Saccharomyces cerevisiae S288C: one gene and its partners. Changing the gene in region 1 together with any one later gene gives a genetic interaction. Each region holds a gene or a part of one and is shown in the gene's direction. Other genes may lie near its edges.

What was found. Genes that interact genetically often act in the same process or in processes that back each other up.
Region 2: mutations in VMS1 (region 1) and RPS6A together harm fitness less than expected from each alone (positive genetic interaction), as found in Saccharomyces cerevisiae (2 studies listed by BioGRID).
Region 3: mutations in VMS1 (region 1) and MCP1 together harm fitness more than expected from each alone (negative genetic interaction), as found in Saccharomyces cerevisiae (2 studies listed by BioGRID).

The regions. Positions count from the first base shown.
Region 1 is NC_001136.10:551,650-557,538, forward strand, and holds VMS1 (Vms1p), read left to right. Parts: upstream 1-1,604; coding exon 1,605-3,503; downstream 3,504-5,889. Other genes in the region: uroporphyrinogen decarboxylase HEM12, read left to right, coding at 211-1,299; triose-phosphate isomerase TPI1, read right to left, coding at 4,077-4,823; acid phosphatase DET1, read right to left, coding at 5,407-5,889. UniProt on the Saccharomyces cerevisiae protein: Endonuclease that cleaves polypeptidyl-tRNAs downstream of the ribosome-associated quality control (RQC) pathway to release incompletely synthesized polypeptides for degradation.
Region 2 is NC_001148.4:374,208-382,052, reverse strand, and holds RPS6A (40S ribosomal protein eS6 RPS6A), read left to right. Parts: upstream 1-3,657; coding exon 3,658-3,663; intron 3,664-4,057; coding exon 4,058-4,762; downstream 4,763-7,845. Other genes in the region: YPL088W (aldo-keto reductase superfamily protein), read right to left, coding at 1-88; RLM1 (Rlm1p), read left to right, coding at 903-2,933; glutathione-disulfide reductase GLR1, read right to left, coding at 5,100-6,551; SSU1 (Ssu1p), read right to left, coding at 6,884-7,845.
Region 3 is NC_001147.6:763,786-771,560, reverse strand, and holds MCP1 (Mcp1p), read left to right. Parts: upstream 1-3,783; coding exon 3,784-4,692; downstream 4,693-7,775. Other genes in the region: WTM1 (transcriptional modulator), read right to left, coding at 1-761; WTM2 (transcriptional modulator), read right to left, coding at 1,749-3,152; HER1 (Her1p), read right to left, coding at 4,996-7,775. UniProt on the Saccharomyces cerevisiae protein: Recruits the lipid transfer protein Vps13 to mitochondria thereby promoting vacuole-mitochondria contacts. Involved in mitochondrial lipid homeostasis.

The DNA.
Region 1 (5,889 bases):
AGGCAAGAGTTTTAATTTTGCCAGCGAAATGTTCTGCCATTTTCATCTTTACCGCTCGAATTAGTGATGTTCCAGACGAAGGTAACATAGAGTGATCGATAGGTTCTTCAATTCATCAAGCATTATCTCAGAATTGTGTTTGGTAAGCTCTCTTCGAGAAAAGGAAGAACAAAAAAAAAAAAAATAAAGCAAAGAACAGGTTATAACGCTATGGGTAACTTTCCAGCTCCAAAAAACGATTTGATATTGAGAGCCGCAAAGGGTGAAAAAGTCGAGAGACCGCCATGCTGGATAATGCGCCAGGCAGGTCGTTACCTGCCGGAATATCACGAGGTGAAAAACAATCGTGATTTCTTTCAAACTTGCAGGGATGCGGAAATTGCTTCTGAGATTACTATCCAGCCGGTAAGACGCTATAGAGGCCTCATTGATGCTGCTATTATTTTTAGTGATATCTTAGTTATTCCGCAAGCCATGGGTATGAGGGTCGAGATGCTCGAAGGTAAAGGTCCACATTTCCCAGAACCTTTAAGAAATCCGGAAGACCTCCAAACGGTATTAGACTACAAGGTTGATGTTTTGAAAGAGTTAGATTGGGCTTTCAAGGCAATCACCATGACAAGGATCAAGTTGGATGGTGAGGTTCCCTTATTTGGCTTTTGCGGGGGACCTTGGACTCTAATGGTTTATATGACGGAAGGCGGTGGATCCCGTCTTTTCAGATTTGCCAAACAATGGATTAACATGTATCCAGAGCTTTCTCACAAATTATTACAAAAAATCACTGATGTGGCCGTGGAGTTTCTGAGTCAGCAAGTCGTGGCGGGTGCTCAAATACTACAAGTTTTTGAAAGTTGGGGTGGTGAGCTTTCGTCTGTAGATTTTGATGAGTTTTCCCTACCATATTTAAGACAAATTGCCGAAAGAGTGCCTAAAAGATTGCAAGAATTAGGTATCATGGAACAGATTCCTATGATCGTTTTTGCGAAAGGGTCGTGGTATGCTTTGGACAAGCTATGCTGTTCAGGATTTGACGTTGTTTCGTTGGACTGGTCCTGGGACCCAAGAGAAGCGGTAAAAATAAACAAGAACCGTGTCACCTTGCAGGGCAACCTGGATCCTGGCGTCATGTATGGTTCTAAAGAGGTAATAACAAAGAAAGTTAAACAGATGATTGAGGCTTTTGGAGGTGGGAAGTCCCGCTACATTGTTAATTTCGGTCACGGTACCCACCCTTTCATGGATCCAGACGTCATCAAGTTTTTCTTGGAGGAGTGCCACAGAATTGGTTCGAAGTAATGTGGAAATATTGATTCTTATAGTGTTATAAGTGATAATATACGTTTATGTAAATAATATCTTTTTCACAACGTTCAAAAGTGGCCTTTTTTCTTTTTTCGATATTCTGTATATTTATTACGATTTTTTTTTTTTTCAGATATTTATTTTTGCAGGTTCTCTGAATGGATGTAGTGACAAAATCTTAAATAGAAGAAAATAAAAGATGAAGGTATATGAAAATAAATGAGAATGCATATCACCTTTCCTTCGAAGAAAAAGGATTTTCAAAAGATCTGCACGCCTGTTGACAAGCTTCCAATAGCATGAATTCACAAAAGGCGAGTAAAATGACTGGCTCACTAAAAAAGAATGATCTTTATATTTTTGATTTGTCTGAGCAACTTCTGAATTCATTGAAATTGATGAGCTTTGACTCCACACTGCGAGAAGTTGAAGTAGAGAAGACATCTGATAATGATAGAAACAAGGAGTCTGGAGATCTCCAAATAGCAAGAAAGAAGGTCACATCAAATGTTATGCGTTGTAGTGTTTGTCAAATGAGCTTTGATTCCAGAAATGAACAAAAGGCCCACTACCAGACTGATTATCATTTGATGAATGTTAAGCGTAACCTTAGGGGGCTGGATATCCTATCCGTTGAGGAATTCGATGCGCTGATTTCTAAGGAGCATGGTATCAAGTCTGAAGACGAAAATTCTGGCGGCGAGCAAACTTCAAGCGATCACGAAGAAAGTGAGGAAGCCAGCGATCGGGACCCGGACCTACAAACTAATAATTATATGGAAACTATAATCGAAAATGATTTGCAGAAATTAGGGTTCCAAAAAGACGAGTCGGATGCTATTAGCCATATTAATACCCAATCGCCCTACATTTATTTCAAATCGAAGTATCTTCAAAAGAATGAGGTCTTGGCGATTTATAAGTCTCTATTTAATAAAAGGAGTCTTTCCAACCCCAATGAAGCTTTGACTTTTTGGAATTCGCAAGAGAACCCAATGGCCATTTCAGCTCTGTTTATGGTGGGAGGTGGACATTTTGCGGGAGCAATTGTTTCTCATCAAAGACTCAATGTCAAGGGGAACGCGCACAAGAAGGACGAAACCTTAATTGAGCAAGCGGTCAATTTCTTAGAGCACAAGACGTTTCACAGGTATACTACCAGAAGGAAGCAAGGTGGTTCTCAGTCAGCAATGGACAATGCAAAGGGAAAAGCTAACTCTGCCGGTTCAGCACTTCGTAGGTACAATGAAAGCGCTTTAAAAACAGATATACAGGGTGTGTTGAAGGACTGGGAACCTTATCTGTCAAAGTGTGATAATATTTTTATTCGAGCTCGCAATGTCAGTGATAAAAAAATTTTTACTGATAATACCGTTCTGAACAAGGGTGATGAAAGGATAAAGAGCTTCCCTTTTACCACGAACAGGCCCACTGTATTAGAATTGAAGAAGGCATGGTGCGAACTTTCCTACCTGAAAATATTACCTAAGCCTGAACCATTGGCAGTGAAAGAAACAGTACAAAAGTTAGAAGTGTCGAACAAAAAGGACGAATTTAAAGAAAAACAAGAACCGTTACTGGAAGAAATCCAAACAGAAGAAATAATTTCTCTGCTGAAGAAAGGAAGGGCACCGTTATTGATATCCTTCTTAAAAAAGAATAAGCTTGATGGAAACTTTCGGTTAAAGCCTGAGAGTAAATATTCCTTAACCCCTACCATGTTACATTATGCATCGCAGCAAGGGATGAAACAGATGGCACTGATTTTGCTCTCAAATATTAAATGCGATCCAACGATCAAGAACAGACTAGGAAGGACTGCGTGGGATTTGAATAGAAACGACGACGTGAGACACGCGTTTCAAATTGCAAGATACAATCTTGGAGAGTCTTTCACTAATTGGGACGAAACTCATATCGGTCAGCCATTGAGCAGAGAACAAGTTGATGAAATCAATGAAAAGAAAAAAGCAATAGAGAATGAAAAGGCAGAAAAACTGATTAAATTGGAATTAGAAGCCGCCAAGGAAAAACAAAGATTTGCTAAAGATGCAGAGAGGGGTCCAGGCAAAAAGTTAACCAATATTCCTTCAATTCAGCAACAAAATTTGAATTCTTTGACCGATGAACAGAGACGCAGATTGATGAGAGAACAAAGGGCTAGAGCCGCAGAAGAAAGGATGAAAAAGAAATACTGAGGAATATCTCATATTCAAATTTTTAGGATTTTTCTTAGCATTTGCATATATTTTCATAGACACAGTACTTACATTTAATAACAGTAATTGAAAAGCAATATTAAAATATAGAAGCCCAAATTTTATATTTCAAATGAATAAATGTTGTTTTTTTTGGCAATTTTTTGCTCTTCTATATAACAGTTGAAATTTGGATAAGAACATCTTCTCAACGCGAAAATGACGCCTCCAGTGAAAAAACATAAACTTTCAATGCAGTCTTCGGTACACTTATGAGTAACCCATATAGAGATCGTACACATTTTACAAGGATTTAGAGACAAAGTAATATTCTTCGTTGATATAGAGGTGTTCAATTGTTAAATGCTTTTCTTCTTTTTATTAGAAAAAGCGCCTTGCTTTTTGTTGTATCACTTGTAAATCTACCGTCCCTTACAAGAACATTCACGAAATTTAAGTGGCTCAGAATGAAAAAGAAACAATATAAAAAAGCTTTCCGTAGTCATCAATTTATTTTACATAACACTAGATATAAAGAAAAGAAGATAATATTTTTATATAATTATATTAATCTTAGTTTCTAGAGTTGATGATATCAACAAATTCTGGCTTCAAAGAAGCACCACCGACCAAGAAACCATCGACATCAGCCTTGTCCTTGAAGGTAACGGCGTTGCTACCGTTAGCGGAACCACCGTATAAGATTCTCAATTCGCTGGCAGCCTTGTCACCCAACTTGGAAGCCAAGAACTTTCTGATGGAAGCGTGAATATCTTGAGCATCTTCTGGAGTAGCAGCCAAACCGGTACCAATGGCCCAGACTGGTTCGTAAGCGACAACGACGTTAGTCCAGTCCTTAACTTCTTCCAAGACAGCGTTCAATTGTCTTTCAACAACATCCAAAGTCTTACCGGCCTTCTTTTCTTCCAAAGTTTCACCGATACACAAGATGACACCGACACCTTGACCTAAAGCGAACTTGGTCTTGTCAGCAATGAACTTGTCATCTTCGTGGAAGTAAGATCTTCTTTCGGAGTGACCCAAAATAACCCACTTAGCACCAACATCCTTGATTTGGTCAACGGAGTTTTCACCGGTGAAAGCACCAGAAGCCTTCAAGTAGGCGTTTTGAGCACCGACAGTGACTTGTGGCTTCTTAACCAAAGAGACAGAGTAGTCTAAGTAGGTAGCTGGAGGACAGATAACAACTTCGACATTTTCTGGGATAGAAGCAGTGTTCAATCTTTCAACAATTTCCTTAATGGATTGTTTGGAACCGTTTAATTTAAAGTTACCACCGACAAAGAAAGTTCTAGCCATTTTTAGTTTATGTATGTGTTTTTTGTAGTTATAGATTTAAGCAAGAAAAGAATACAAACAAAAAATTGAAAAAGATTGATTTAGAATTAAAAAGAAAAATATTTACGTAAGAAGGGAAAATAGTAAATGTTGCAAGTTCACTAAACTCCTAAATTATGCTGCCCTTTATATTCCCTGTTACAGCAGCCGAGCCAAAGGTATATAGGCTCCTTTGCATTAGCATGCGTAACAAACCACCTGTCAGTTTCAACCGAGGTGGTATCCGAGAGAATTGTGTGATTGCTTTAATTAATTTCGGAGAATCTCACATGCCACTGAAGATTAAAAACTGGATGCCAGAAAAGGGGTGTCCAGGTGTAACATCAATAGAGGAAGCTGAAAAGTCTTAGAACGGGTAATCTTCCACCAACCTGATGGGTTCCTAGATATAATCTCGAAGGGAATAAGTAGGGTGATACCGCAGAAGTGTCTGAATGTATTAAGGTCCTCACAGTTTAAATCCCGCTCACACTAACGTAGGATTATTATAACTCAAAAAAATGGCATTATTCTAAGTAAGTTAAATATCCGTAATCTTTAAACACTATGTAGTTAGGTCTCCCTCACAATCAGTCCATTTGGGTAGCACGGTCCTCAGGACGTATCTATTGATGGATTCGTCCAGTTCCATCACCATTACGCTCCCGTTAGGAACATTGGTAAACGATTCAAACTCTTCGTATGTCCATCTAAACCATTTCATCAGGAATACTCTGGAATAAATACCATGTGTAACTAGGACAACAACATCTCTGGGTCTTCTCTCTTGCCTATCATGGAAGTGCCTGAATAAAGTCTCTTGGAAACTGGCGACTCTGTCATATACATCTGCCGCACTTTCTCCATGAGGGAATCTGAAGAAGAAATGACCATACGTAGATCTCTTCTTCATAACGTCCTGCATGCTATTGATTTTTTGGAAATTACCAAAATCTTGTTCCCTTATTCTTGGCTCATCCTTAACCCGATATTGCAGATAACATTTTCCAGGCTTCCCTTCACAAATATTATCTTCATTATTTTCGTA
Region 2 (7,845 bases), on another chromosome or scaffold:
TCTTGGACCCGTATGACATACATCCTATCACTATCGGTGATATCTTAAGACCTGAGTTACCGAGTCTTACCTGCTTAACTAAAACCATTTCTGCCGCCTGATGTGGGTCTTCCGTAACAGCCAAATTACATAGTTGGCAAGACAATTAATATATGATACCTTGTTCTCTGGGTCCTAATATATATATATATATATATATATATACGAAAAGGCTGAGAAGAATAAGGCAGATGTTAGCTTAGCTTCTTTTACTCAAGCAATGAAAACAAAATCGAAGGGAAACAAATTCAAACCAAGCGGCCGAGTTATCTCCCGTTCCTAACCTACTACACTAATCACATTTTTCCGTGGAAATAACGTTATTGAAAATGCGTTCTTGCCTGCCATACGTGGGTGAAATACTTCCACGTTCGCAAAAAATACTTCCACGGTGACGAAGTCTGTCTCAGTCGTATATTAAATGCAGAAATCGTCTTATCATTATTGGGCTCTCTTAACGGCGCAGCATCACCGGGTGATGAATGCCAAGCCGCAGAAAGAAAGAAAAAAATTTACTTCAGATTTCTGATAAAAATAAAACGGAAGAGATGAAAGCTAATAATAGAAACAGCTCGATCTTCCTCTGAACAATAATAATTAAAGGACAGACAAAAAGAAACGTAAGAAAGAAGCGAGCCTGTTCTAAAGTGTTCAACGACTGATTCAATTAGAACTGCCTACTCCTGATAGCCAACTCAACTTTTGACTCGTTAAAGTAATTGAAAGCTGGCAAGCAGAATTATTCTTTTTTTTTTTCAAGGTTTCTATCACGTTGTGAGGTTAATATCCCCCGGAGCAAACAGGCTGAAGCGTGAAAAAAACTTAAATATTAAAGTGTCGCAAAACTATACTATAGATACAACATGGGTAGACGGAAGATTGAAATCCAGAGAATTTCTGATGACAGAAATAGGGCTGTCACGTTTATAAAACGTAAAGCTGGCCTTTTTAAGAAGGCCCATGAACTATCCGTTCTTTGTCAAGTAGACATAGCCGTCATTATACTGGGGTCCAATAACACGTTCTATGAGTTTTCCTCTGTGGATACGAATGATTTAATCTATCACTACCAAAATGACAAAAACTTGCTTCACGAAGTGAAAGATCCTTCCGATTATGGAGACTTTCACAAAAGTGCATCCGTTAACATAAATCAAGACCTACTCAGGTCGTCTATGTCAAATAAGCCTTCGAAATCAAATGTTAAAGGAATGAACCAGTCAGAAAATGATGATGATGAGAACAATGATGAGGACGACGATGATCATGGCAATTTTGAGAGGAATTCAAATATGCATTCGAATAAAAAAGCCTCTGATAAAAATATACCGAGTGCACACATGAAGTTGTTATCCCCGACCGCACTCATTTCAAAGATGGATGGTAGTGAGCAAAATAAACGTCATCCTGAGAACGCGCTGCCGCCTTTACAACATTTGAAAAGATTGAAACCGGATCCTTTGCAAATAAGTAGAACTCCGCAACAGCAACAGCAGCAAAATATATCGAGACCATACCATAGTAGCATGTACAATCTTAACCAGCCTTCATCCAGTTCATCTTCTCCTTCCACGATGGATTTTCCAAAATTACCAAGCTTTCAAAACTCTTCCTTTAATGGTCGTCCTCCACCCATTTCCATTTCACCGAACAAGTTCAGTAAGCCATTTACAAATGCATCCTCAAGGACCCCTAAACAGGAGCACAAAATTAACAATAGTGGCAGCAATAATAATGACAACAGCAACTACACTCAGTCACCATCTAATTCTTTGGAAGACTCTATTCAGCAGACTGTCAAAGCAAGAAGGAAATTGTCCGCCAGACCGGTACTTCGTGTGAGAATTCCGAACAACAATTTCAGCAGTAATTCCGCTATTCCAAGTGAACCCTCCTCTGCCTCCTCCACATCGGCCAACGGCAATAGTATGGGCTCTTCGCAGATAATGAAAGAAAACAAAACAAGTAGGTCTAGCAAAATTTCTCCACTATCCGCATCTGCCTCAGGCCCCTTAACTCTCCAAAAAGGTAATAATGGCAGAATGGTAATAAAATTGCCAAATGCAAATGCGCCTAACGGTTCTAACAATGGTAATGGCAGTAACAATAACAATCACCCTTATCCTTTCGGAAGTGGGTCTTCACCTCTTTTTTCTGCAACACAGCCATACATTGCCACTCCCTTGCAACCATCGAATATTCCTGGCGGACCTTTCCAACAAAATACATCTTTTTTAGCTCAAAGACAAACCCAGCAATACCAACAAATGTCTTTCAAAAAACAGAGCCAAACAGTACCATTAACTACAACATTAACCGGACGCCCCCCTTCAACTTTTTCCGGCCCTGAAACCAGCAATGGCCCTCCAACTGGTTCACTGCCATCGAAGTTCGTACATGATTTGATGAGTAATTCTCCAAATGTTTCTTCTATATCGATGTTTCCAGACTGGTCAATGGGACCCAACAGTGCCAAGCCGGGAAACACAAACAATCCTGGTACTTTCCCTCCCGTACAGACGGCCGTAAACAACGGCAACTCCAGCAATATCAGCAGCACTAACAACACTAACAACAACAACAACAATAACAACAACAACAGCAGCAACAACAACAGCAACAACGGCAACGACAATAACAGTAACAATAGCAATAACAGTTACTATAGTAATAATGAAGATGCACCCGTAAATGGAGCTGCTATTTCAGAACATACTACCGATGGTGACTCGAACAATCAGTCCAACTCAAGTACATATGATGCTGCTGCCACCGCATATAATGGAAATACCGGGCTGACTCCATACATAAATACTGCTCAAACACCACTAGGCACTAAATTCTTTAATTTTTCGACTGATATTTCAGGAGAAAAAAATTCAAGCAAAATATAAACCAAAAAATTTGACCAGTATGAATATTCCAAGCATAAGAAACTTCTTTTCATTTAAAAAATTTATATTTATATTATTGTAAATGCACATATTTACGTAGTGAATAACCCAAACAAGGAAGAAAAACGAAAAACTCAATTGCATTTTCTGAATAATGATAGTATTTAAGTACTCTTTTGTGCATTAGCAACTAAAATGAATTGCCGCCTGGCCTGGAGTTTGATGTAAGCAGAAGCCGGAAGAAGACAAGAGGTTCATTCAGAGAAAACATCCGTACATTCGAGTTCTCATTGAACCCATACATTTCAACTATTTTTACATAGTTCGTTTTTCATGTGTAAAATTGTCATCGACGCGCCGGAGCATCGGAAAGTTGGAACGTGCGCGATTGCACCAATCCCACTGGGGCCGTGCATTCTGTAGGCAGGAAGCCACTGGACACTCTGCCCGTTCCCACTTGGAAGATTGGCGTAATTCCACGCTCCTCTATCGATTCTAGCGGGAAAGTTATCTCTCCTGGTAAGCGTTGGAGGAATGCCGCTACCTAGGTAAGTCTACTGGGTGGGAATTCCAGTACCGACGTCTAGGAACATCATGATGCTGCAGTTTCTTTGAAATTTCATATACAGTGTTACCAAGGATAAAGTGGTTAATGCTTATTCGTCATTGAATTTTTATATTTGCTTAAGAGAAGTGACAAAAGAGTGAAGACAGACTATACATCATGAAGGTATGATTTATGATACTATTATTGAGGGGCAACAGAGAACTTTATATGTGGAAAAATGGCATGAAAGTTTGAAAGTGAGAAAGAACTAAACAGAACCAGACGTCGTAAAGATTTTAGAAATTTTTTATGGAAAGAAGCAGGAAGACTACCATATACTAATTGATGCGTTTGTGGCGTTATTTTTAAACAAACAGAGCGGGTTTACATATACTGTTACTACAAACCGTGAAATTGAAGCAGTTCATATACTTGGAGTATAGTCAATAAAAGACAAGCTTTTTCATCTTCCACTTAATAATTTCTCTAGAGTAATAAACTTCACCCTATTCAAACATTAATTTTGCAATAGTATACTAACAAATTTTCTTAATAACCTGTTGAAAATTTAAAATAGTTGAACATTTCTTACCCAGTTAACGGGTCTCAAAAGACCTTCGAAATTGATGATGAACACCGTATTCGTGTTTTCTTCGACAAGAGAATCGGTCAAGAAGTCGATGGTGAAGCCGTTGGTGACGAATTCAAGGGTTACGTCTTCAAGATCTCTGGTGGTAACGACAAACAAGGTTTCCCAATGAAGCAAGGTGTTTTGTTGCCAACTAGAATCAAGTTGTTGTTGACCAAGAACGTTTCTTGTTACAGACCAAGACGTGATGGTGAAAGAAAGAGAAAGTCCGTCAGAGGTGCCATTGTTGGTCCAGATTTGGCTGTCTTGGCTTTGGTCATTGTCAAGAAGGGTGAGCAAGAATTGGAAGGTCTAACTGACACTACTGTTCCAAAGAGATTGGGTCCAAAGAGAGCTAACAACATCAGAAAGTTCTTCGGTTTGTCCAAGGAAGATGACGTTCGTGATTTCGTCATCAGAAGAGAAGTCACCAAGGGTGAAAAGACTTACACCAAGGCTCCAAAGATCCAAAGATTGGTTACTCCTCAAAGATTGCAAAGAAAGAGACACCAAAGAGCTTTGAAGGTCAGAAACGCTCAAGCTCAAAGAGAAGCTGCTGCCGAATACGCTCAATTGTTGGCTAAGAGATTGTCTGAAAGAAAGGCTGAGAAGGCTGAAATCAGAAAGAGAAGAGCTTCTTCTTTGAAGGCTTAAAGTTAGAAAGCAGTAAAAGATAAATTCTTTTGTTCAAAAACTCCTTTCTTATTCTGTATTTTGTGTATTTTTAAGCTTAAAATCAAATAACTTTATTTTTTATATAATTAACAAAAAGAAAAATAATCATATGTATTGTAAACGAGAGTCGGAATGTATCCTCAACTGAATATCCAAGCGAGTCCACAGTAGCTAATAGTCTGAAAAAAAAAGGAACCCTTGTCCTTGAACAGAAATGACAAAATTACTACGTATTTCAGGATGCTATATAAGATTGTTTACAAGAGTACAAAAGTCCAGTATAGCAACAGCAGATTGGACGTCTAGTTTCGTTGCTTCATCTCATAGTAACCAATTCTTCTGCGCTAGTCGGATGAATAGCAACACAATTATCGAAATCAGCCTTAGTGGCACCCATCTTTATAGCAACACCGAACCCTTGCAAGATTTCTGCAGAGGAATCACCAACAATGTGCAGACCGACAACCTTTTCATTTGGTCCCGCACAAACAATTTTATATCTTGTGGGTGATTTCTCACTCAACATAGCATAGTACATGGCGGTAAATTTGGAATTGTAGACCTTTATATTCTCCTTACCGTACTTTTCAATGGCTTCCTTCTCAGAAATACCAATGGAACCGGCTTCAGGATGTGAGAAAATTACGCTGGGGACGTTCTCGTAATCTAGTTTGTCATTACGGAATTTCTCTGGACCAAACAGTCTATTAGACAGCTTTCTGCCCGCTGCAATAGCGACAGGTGTCAATTCAACTTTTCCAACAACGTCACCTAGAGAATAAATGTTTGGAACATTGGTGTTCTGATATTCATCAGCAATTATTTGGTCATGAGAGTTCAGCTTTATACCTACATTTTCTGAACCCATACCTAGATGGGATTTACGTCCAATTGTCCAAATTAATTCGTCAACGTCATCGATGGACTTTGAGTCATTCATATGTATTTTCAGTTTGTCAGTTTCTACATTTTTCTCCACCTTAACAATTTTGGATAGTTTATGAACGTTGATGCCTTCCTTTACGTAATGGTCAGTAATAGTGTTCTGGATGCATTCATCAAATTTTCTCAAGACAGTTTCACCTCTAATTACCAAGTGCGTTTCGGATCCCAGCCCATGGAACACACCTGCTAGCTCAATACCAATATAACCAGCGCCAACAACAACAACTTTCTTAGGTTGTTCTTCCAATCTAAAGAACCCATCAGAATCAGTACCTAATTCGAAACCTGGAATGTTTTCGGGGAAAATAGCCTTTCCACCGGTCGCAACTAAAATATGGTTAGCGGAGTAAACTTCAGTAGTATTATCCCTTTTCTGAACTTCAACATTACCGTCCTTATTGAATCTAGCCCATCCAAATACAACATCCACTTTTTCTTTTTCTAAATTCTTCTGGTATATACCGTTCAACCTATGGACATAAGCATCCCTTTTCTGCTTAAATTCTGGCCAATTAAAAGTCAAATGCTCTTTATCTAATGGAAGATTCTGATATAATCCATATTCATTTGCATGGGATACTCTAGTAGCGAGGTCAGAAGCATACCACATGACTTTCTTCGGAACACAACCCACGTTAACACAGGTACCACCAAGAGCCTTAGCTTCAACTAGTAATGTCTTCGCACCATAAGATGCAGCTCTTCTTGCGGAAGCAACACCCCCTGAGCCACCCCCGATGACGAGGTAATCGTAATGCTTGGTGTTCGTGGACATAGTTCTTATCTGTAGACTTCTAAATGTTTGTTTGGTTGCAGAAAGCATAAAGTTCTGTAAACTAATATGTAAATAGATATATATACATATGAAGGAAAGCAGCAAAATATACTGAGAGTGAGAAGCGCATGAGAAAAACCAGAAGTGTTTCTTATACTTTTTTAGACTGATTTTAATAGTAGATTCCAAATGGAAAGCTCCGAAATCCTCGAAAAATTGACAAGGGTCGTGCTTACTAAGTGACGTCAAAAAATATCAGGCATAGTGAAAACCAACGTGAAGAAGCAAAAGCAGCAAAGCGCCGTGCAAATGAATTAAACTATCTATTGAGACTCCTACATGAAATGCTTGCCAATTATGTACGTATAAAACCAACAATTTTATGCTAAACGCGTAAAATCTAGAGCCGAGTTTGATTCTTCCACGCTTTCAATGCTGTTATACGGAGAAACTGTCGTCTTTTCCGTACCTGACTCTGAAAATAATGAAGATTTACGGGCAGCATGCAGCATCTTTTTAGAATACTCATGCAATGTGCATAAAAGGCATAGAATTGACCAACAAACGCAAACACCGCCGTATATGGTTCCTAGGACTCTAAATGCATATAAGGGAACGTACTGGTTATACTGCACATATAACTCTTCGTTTCCTAAAGACATAGTACCCATCGGGAAAGTCATCCCCCAAAAACCTTTGTGGAAGGTATAAACTCTCTTCACTTTTCCTGTCTCGTTTTCAATCTCTTTTTTATTGTAGTACGACAGGATTGAAACGACAGAAATCACGGTGAAAAAATAGCCCATAGCGAGCAATGCCATAGCAGAAACCATGCCTAGAATTTTGAAACACCATGGAACTGCAATAGTCAATATCTCTTGTTCTCTTGTAATGTTATCTGTTGGGTAATATTTGCCCGCATATTTTTTTATATTATCTGTAAGCAATAAGACTCCAAAACTTCCTTGGCCCATCGGGCCCAAAAGCAGGAATAAGGTGAAAACCTGTGTCATTGGTGGTATCTTATTAATATAAAGACTCCAGAAGTATATCGCAATCAGTATGAAGACGAAGATAATGGCATGCAGCCACGTTAAGGCACATATGACCAACGTTATCAGTTGAATGTTTCTATTAAACGCATGGAAGAATATTTCTGACATTGTGAATGTTCCACAACTTGAAGCGACGACAACCAGCGGAATGATATCCAGTAGCAATACACTTTTCATGTTTTCGGATGCCATTTTGATATTATATGAAGGATAATTCCCAATCCCTTCCAAAGGGTAATAGTCATGCCAGATGAGAAACGAGATACCCCACGCTATTACTAGACAGA
Region 3 (7,775 bases), on another chromosome or scaffold:
GAAGTTCTAGTGTCCCAGAACCTCAGAATATTGTCATCTGAACAAGACGCAAAGATATGATTGTCGAAAAATCTTACGGTGTGAGTCACAGTGGTACCAGGCACATGAACAGTACGTAGAATCTCACCAGGCTTACCGGCATTGTCAATGATTTTCAAAATACTGTCTTCTTCATCACCATTACTCTGAGACTTCACAATGGTTTCGGTATCATTGGAAATGCCGAAGTCAGAGATGGCTAATGAGAAATCCTTTTCAGGTAGATCACCAGGTCTGGTTAAAGAATGGATGCTGGCATAGCTGGTTGCTGGACCCATCAATTCCTGTACAATGTGAATAGGGACCTTTATACCCTCTTTGAACCAAGCCAACGACCCGTTCTTAGACATCGACAATAATGTAGTTTCTCCAGTCTTATCTAAGTAGGCCATTTTGGAGACAGTTTCACCCTGGTACACGAATTTTGGGCTCAACGAGGTGTTTTCAATACCTTCAAAGGCGTCACCATAGTCTTTCACCGGTTCTGAAGCGGCTTCTTGTAGTGGTACAGCGAAGTCAATTTCGTAGATATCACTACCTTGAGAGTATATAACACTTGAGGTTAGAGTGTTATTTTTTTTATCTGGAACAACAACGTTGCTGAACGTCAAGGACTTCCTTTGGTGCAGAACATTGTCCACACGAGACACAAATTTTGGTCTTAAGCTGGAGATATGTTCATAAGTGGAAGGCGTAGATGATTTCCAAACCTTTTTTGGCATTTTTGGTTGTAATGTATAGTGTGTTACAATTTATTTGTATCTTTCAAGATTGGTTGATTAATAATTAATTTTCTTATCTAATATCTACAATTCAGGCGAATATAAACTTTTCGGATCTTCTTTTTTCCCTCCCTTTATACTGGAAGCTACAGAACTGAAAAAAAAAAAAAAAAAACATAGAACATTAAGGGGACAGACTGCATGGAAAAGGAAAAGGTAAAAAAAAGCCCCGAAATGGTACTCTTAAATATGAGATGATAAACGAGGATTCGAAGGAAAATAGCCCAACTATCTACGAGTTGAAATTAAAAGGGAGTAGTGAGCGCCACTATGTGTGCTCACTGTGTATAGCTAAGCAATTACATAAGGGATAGTACATAAACCACCGTATGTTAGGAAAGAGGAAAAAAAGGAAAGACAAAGGTCTTTTGCCTATTGTATGACTTAGCCTTTCTTTGTTATACCCCGGCGCGTTCCAAAAAGGGAAGCCAGCACAGCACCGCATATTGAATACCGCCTTCTCACGTGGTACAGGCACAACTATCTTGCATGTGCCTCTGGGTCTTTCTTAGCGACAGCCTTTTAAGATTCTGAATTGTAAACATCGAGCTTCATCCGAGAAACGAAAGAGGGAATCTTGAAATGGACTATGTCACCATTAGATCCTCCCTCTTCTCCATATAGCCGGTTTTTGTCTTATTTCTTTGCTGGAAAGAAAAAAAAGAAATTGCTTGGTTAATTACTGGTAACCCTCTTTTCTTGAGGCCTTACTTCGTTGGCTTCAGAAATCTGAAAGAGTCTTTATTAGGAGCGATACCAGTATCTATACAACATTATACCATCACTATATATTACAAAAAAAAAAATAACCCCGATAGCGTGCTAGAAATGAATAAAAAAAAAAAAAACAGAATTATGTACGTGAATGCTTGTGAGTTACTGCCTTTCCCATAGGTGGTAACGTTAATTTCTTACTCTTTTTTTTTTTTAATCGTCGTAACCTCTGCCAATGAAGTCACTGGCCAGAAATGGTTTGTAGGCAGTAACAAGACTATCTGAATCAACAGTGCCAACAAAATCATTGATTACGGGGTGTAGCGCCACAGTGTTCCTCTTCCCGAATTGGTTGCTCGATCTTCTTGTGCCACCTGTGTGGAAAAATTTTAAACATTGACCCTGAAGTTCCTCCGGAGCAGCCACTCGAACTTCGTCTTCGTTGTCATCGTCGTTTCTTGAAAAAGAGTACTCCATGTCCCAGTGGTAGACATTACCCGTTCCTCCAACCGTAACAAATTCTGTTGCAGAGGTTTGTGAGAACAGGATATCGACAACGGAATCGCCGCCAGAATGGAACAACTTGGCTATTTCGTTTTGGATCGGTTCCTCGCCGTTCTGCCTATGTGTGAGGTCAGTAGTAGCCAGTTGCACAGCACGCGCATCCCATAGCTTGATGACACCCGTGCTGAACCCAGTGACAAATAGGTTTTCAGTAACTTGAGAGGAATCGAAGGACGTTAGTCGTCCATTTTTCGGTTCGCTTAGCGTCCAAAGCGGTTTGTCCGCTGTTCTTGTGTCCCAGAATCTTAAAATGTTGTCATCTGAACAAGATGCAAATAAATGGTTGTTAAAAAATCTAACTGAGTGAGCCACGTTGGTCCCTGGAACGTGCACTGTACGTAATATATCTCCCGGTCTATCGGAGTTGTCGATGATTTTCAAGATGCTGTCCTCCTCGTAGCCGTTACTTTGTGACTTTACTACCGTATCCATATTTGTCGACACATCAAAATCTGACACTGCTAATGAACCTGGTCTGGTTAGAGAGTGAATACTAGAGTATCTAGTAGCAGGGCCCATCATTTCCTGTACGATATGAACGGGAACCTTGATCTCATCTCTGAACCATGCCAAAGAGCCGTTCTTGGACATCGCGATCGCCGTACTGTCGTCTGAGCTTTCCAAGTATTGCATTTTTGCCACTGTTTCGCCCTGGTAAATCCACTTTGGGCGCAATGGTTTCCCCTCAACATCTTGGAAAGCATCACCATACTCTGGATTTGGGGTGGCTGCAGACTTCGTCTTGCCGTTACCTTCTTCGTCGTCGTCGTCGTTGTCGTCGTCGTCGTCGTCGTCATAGAATGTCTTTAATGGTAAAGTAGTGTCTATTTCGTAAATATCACTACCTTGAGAATATAAAAGACTAGTCGTCAAGGTGCCCTTGGATTTGTCTGGAATAATCTCACTTCTCCATGTCAGTGTCTTGCTAAAATGTAAAACATCGTCGACTCTTGTGCTGAATTGTGGTTTAAAGCTAGAAATGTGTTGGTATAAAGAAGGTGCCGGTTTACGGCGTGCTCCACTCGCACCCTGACTGGATTTGCTTTTCGCCATCCTCTATCCTTTTTAGTTCTTGCTCCCGTCGCTACTAATTGCTCCTTGTCTTATAAGTAAATGTAGCTGTACAGCAGAGATGTTCCATACGTCAGCTAACTAATTGCCTTTAATCTTTTTTTTTTTTATTTTTTTTTTTTTTCAAAAACAATAGAATTGAAGATGTGAGATGGAAAGGGAAATCAAAGTGCCATAAATGGTAAAGGCTTGCATTATGACCCGAATGGGTAAGAATGATCCAATGAGAGTCTGCGGACGCATATGTGCGGAATATGACTTAGCAGTTCGAACCCCGAACGGGGCTAAAAAACCAAAAGGACAAACCTTATGCGGAACATCTACCATCTATTCAAGGGAGTATAGCTTCCGTGTAGACTATAGAAGAAGCGTTCCAGTCAATTCTACTACATCAGTCTTCCGACATCGCTGATTGTATCCTAACCAGGTCCACAACTAAAATTTGTTTTGAAAAGAGTGGCTAGAGAGCGAATACGTGCTCTGTAATTGTGTGAGGCAAGTTGGTCGTCAATTGGAAAATAAGTAAGGAAAACCTTGTGTAGATTGTATTGCTCCTAACAGGTCCCGAATTACTAGGGCATATACCAGTTAGCCCAGAGTTTTGTTTATTACGATGATAAAGTTGCATGAAGTGCCTCCAGAACCAGTAGACCCTGCTAGTCTCCCTCATGATGTTAATGCACATAGCCCCGAAGGAGATGGTAATCCTGATAAGAGGAAAAAAATATTTGGCATTCCGTATCCTTTTTCCAGGAGTTCATGTCGGAGATTCCTTTGGAACTGTCAAAAGATTTCGGTACTGCCCATGGCATTGTATTTCCCACTACATGCAGCAAATACATTAATCACGCCGGCAGTATCACCTGATTCTGCTCCTGACGACGTTTTAATGATGGTGAGAGAGATTTTACCGTCCATAACTACCAAGCTGTTAGTTGCGGGTATTACTCTTCATGTTTCTGCTGGTGTCTTGCTCCGAATCGTGAACAACTGGAACAAGCCAAGAAGAAATAGACATCGACATTTAAAGATATCGGCCGAACAAGATCTATCCCAAGATTCGATTGGTTTAACTGGTGGAATTTCTGGCTATTTATTTGGATTGTATAAGACCTTCCGCATTCCTCCACAAGTGATTAGTGGATACATCCTTGTTCCCGTCCTGATATACCACTTATTAATTATGAAATGGGTGCCGAATTCCATCTCTACTGAGGTGGATTTCGCCTCTATAAAGCAATTACTATCTAGCAAGAACAGGTGGTGGAAATGGCTTGGAGGCCTGGTGCCGTTAGCTATTCTCCTCGAGTCAGGTGTATATCATATAGGTTCGGGGCTCTGCCGTTATTTCGGTGTTAGAAAAATGACTAGCAGGAAAAAATGGTCCACAGCTATCAATCTATTAACACTCGTTGGGTTCGTTTCTCTGATTAGATTGATGAAAGAGGATTCTACGAAACTGGGTCCCAACCAATTCGAAAGCATTTTCAAAAAGATCCGGTTGCTGTTGCACGTGAATTAGGAATCCTTGTGGGAGTAGTGTGAAGCTATTAATTTGCGACAATTCTCGAACAGTTAATTATATTATTCTCAGTATTTATTTTAAATTTCTGTATTTTTATCTGATTAATAACATTAGTGTGCATAATGAAGGCAAAAAATTTCGGCAGAAAGTATATGATTATGAAAAAACGTAAAATACATATACACATAAAACGTACATACATATATAGATTCCTAAGAATACATTATTGATGGGATATTTATACAAAGATGCACCTTCTAATAATCGAAAGAGAAAGGAAAGACAGAAGCATAAAATAATTTAGGTTTTACTGTGACGAACATTAGACAGATCGTTCAATAGTTTGTCATATTTTTTTGTCACTGTTTCATCTTCAACAAGGGGCCTCTGCAAAGGCGCCTTTTGTTGTGATTCTTGTAAACTGTCATTACTCGGGCTTCTAGAGTTCAATTCATCTCCATATAATGATTCCAATCCAACCTTTTCAGAGGTAACATTTTTAATCAGATCATCTACAGAATCAATACCCTTAGCTTTAATAATGGCATCCCTTAATTCGGCACCGGTAGGAATCTTTGGTAAGATTTTTGGCCTTGTACCAGATGTGCGAGAGGATTCCCCTTTCTTTCCTCCGGCGACACTGCTATCTGGTGTTAACGACCCGCTAATTCTCGAAGAATTGGCGGATGAAGGAAGCCCAGAGTTATGTCTTGAGCTTTGGTGCTGTACAAACACACCCCATTTATGTAATTCACCTTCCTCTTCTTCCTGTCTCTTGCCGGCCAGTGAGGTATTAGACGAACTCTTGAAAAGAAGAGCTTTACCAGTGGTCACATCGATGATTCGTCCCGAGTCGGTGGCCATTAAGTGTGGTCTAATTGATGAATCGTTTTCAGGAATTGAAACATCGTTGATTAACCTGTCAGAATCTAAGTGTTTTAGAGATGGACGAATACCATCATTATAGTTTGCGCTAACCGTGCTATCCCCAATATTAGGGAAACTATTATCGGCTTTTGAAAATGGTACGACATCTGCTATATTGGGCATAGAAGCAAAAATATCAAGAATATTTGATAAATTTTTCTCAAGAAGCAATAACCTTAGTAGGTTTTCCTTTTCCTGCAGTGGCAGTTCGCCGGATTTTCTTTTCTCAAACATAGAATCAATTGTATTTTGAACATTATGATGTACCTTTTCCATTTTCTCAAAATATTTCTTTAAAAGATATTTCTTCCCAACATCATTTTGAAGTAAAGATTTGTCATTTAATCTTTTCAAAACTTCTTCTGCTGTCTCAGTTATCAAGGAACCATCAAATATTAAATCATCTTGTACAGTCAATTCATCTAATTTAAAGCTAGAGTCCATAATTCTCTTCATATTATGCATTAAGCATAACGCAATTCTTGATTGAATTTCGTCTGGTACTTGATCATAGTCAACGTCTAAACTAACTAAATTGTGAGAGTCCCTAACAAATGCATACAATGAGGCCCAAAGCGTATTTCTCATAAATACGATTTGTTCTTTCTTTTCATCTTTCGACTTATCGGGTTCATCAGTACTGTCGGATATTTTACTTGCATCGGGCATAGGACTTTGTCCTATCAATGAAACATGAGAGAGGGTTTCACACTTAGCTAATATGCTGACAAGCATGGTTGTTTCTTTTATAGAAAGATCGTCGAAATCAAAATGAATACGTTTCAGTTGTGGAAATTGGGGAAAATACTTATAGCCGGATGTTAAAATCCCCGGGAATAACTGAGGCAAGTTGCTCAAATCTAGAAATTTTATGCTTGGCAAACGTGAAAGATATTTTAGTATGTAGGACATATCATCAACAGAGGTGATATTAGTGCTGTTAAGGGTAAAATATTCCAAATGCTTATAAGGAAGCCTAGCTAGTTTTTTGATCATTCGTTTTGCCAAACTTTCTAAATTATTATAGGCCAAATCCACACCTTGAACGTTATATTCAGACATCCAATTAAAGAGAAAATCAAAACACTCGGTTGAGAATTCTACGTTAGCCATCCCGAGACGAATAGGGTTTTTAGGGTTCATTTGTGCGAAAGTAAGTAGGATATTTTTGAAATGACTGAATGACATTTTGTCAAACCTTAAACCATTCAAAAGCAATTCTTCCAAAGGTCTACCTTCTCTATTTCTAAGAACTTCGCAAAATAGTTCCCAGTCCATTTGGTCTCTGTAGTTAGAATCATTTAAATCTGTCCTTGCTTTAGTCTGAGAAATATCCAGCTTGATCAATGTTTTATTTTGTAATAAAAACTTGCAAAGTAGTTTCCAACTTTGTTCGTTTATCACAACATTTCTTAACCCCAATTTCTCCACTACCGGAGAGGTTACCAAAGAACAAATGACAATCTTGAACATATCATGGGTTAAGGACACATTATCGAAAATGATGTTATGGATCGGAGTTATGGCAATAAAATCACAAAATGATAATATATCCACTAAGGTTGGTTTTGGATTCAAAAATTTCAAAGTCTGCAAAGGTGCGGTTTTACCTTTGACCTGTCTCAAAGTGGACGGTATTGGTAAAATTTCTCTCAAATGACAGCATCTAGTGTAAGCTACGTCCAATGTTTGTTCAAGGTGAGAAGAGTATTTAATGTTATCATCCTGATGTGTTTCGAAAGGATGTGCACCTACATTGATCGGTTTATCGATATGAAGCTTAGAAGCTCTAGCATCTAGAGAGGAGGATTCTTGATCCGTCGCTGAATCTGCTGCTGAATTAGTTGCTCCAGTTAACGGCGATGTCTTCAATTGCCTGGCCTTATAGTTTGCCACTTCTTGAGCCATTCGCTCTGCAACATAATACGCATCCTTTTGATGTTTTTCGGCTTCTTTAGCTGCTTTTTTAAAATTTTCCAAAGCTAATTTATATTCTTTAGAATCTTTTGAATATGAGGGAGAGATATTGGACTGAAAACTGCTTTGATCGCTGCTGTTTGTAATTCCCAGAGAGATTAGTGGGGGGGCACTAATCATATCTTCTGGTATGAGAACATTACCCCTTTTAGGCTTCCTAGAAGGTAGTTGTTGTG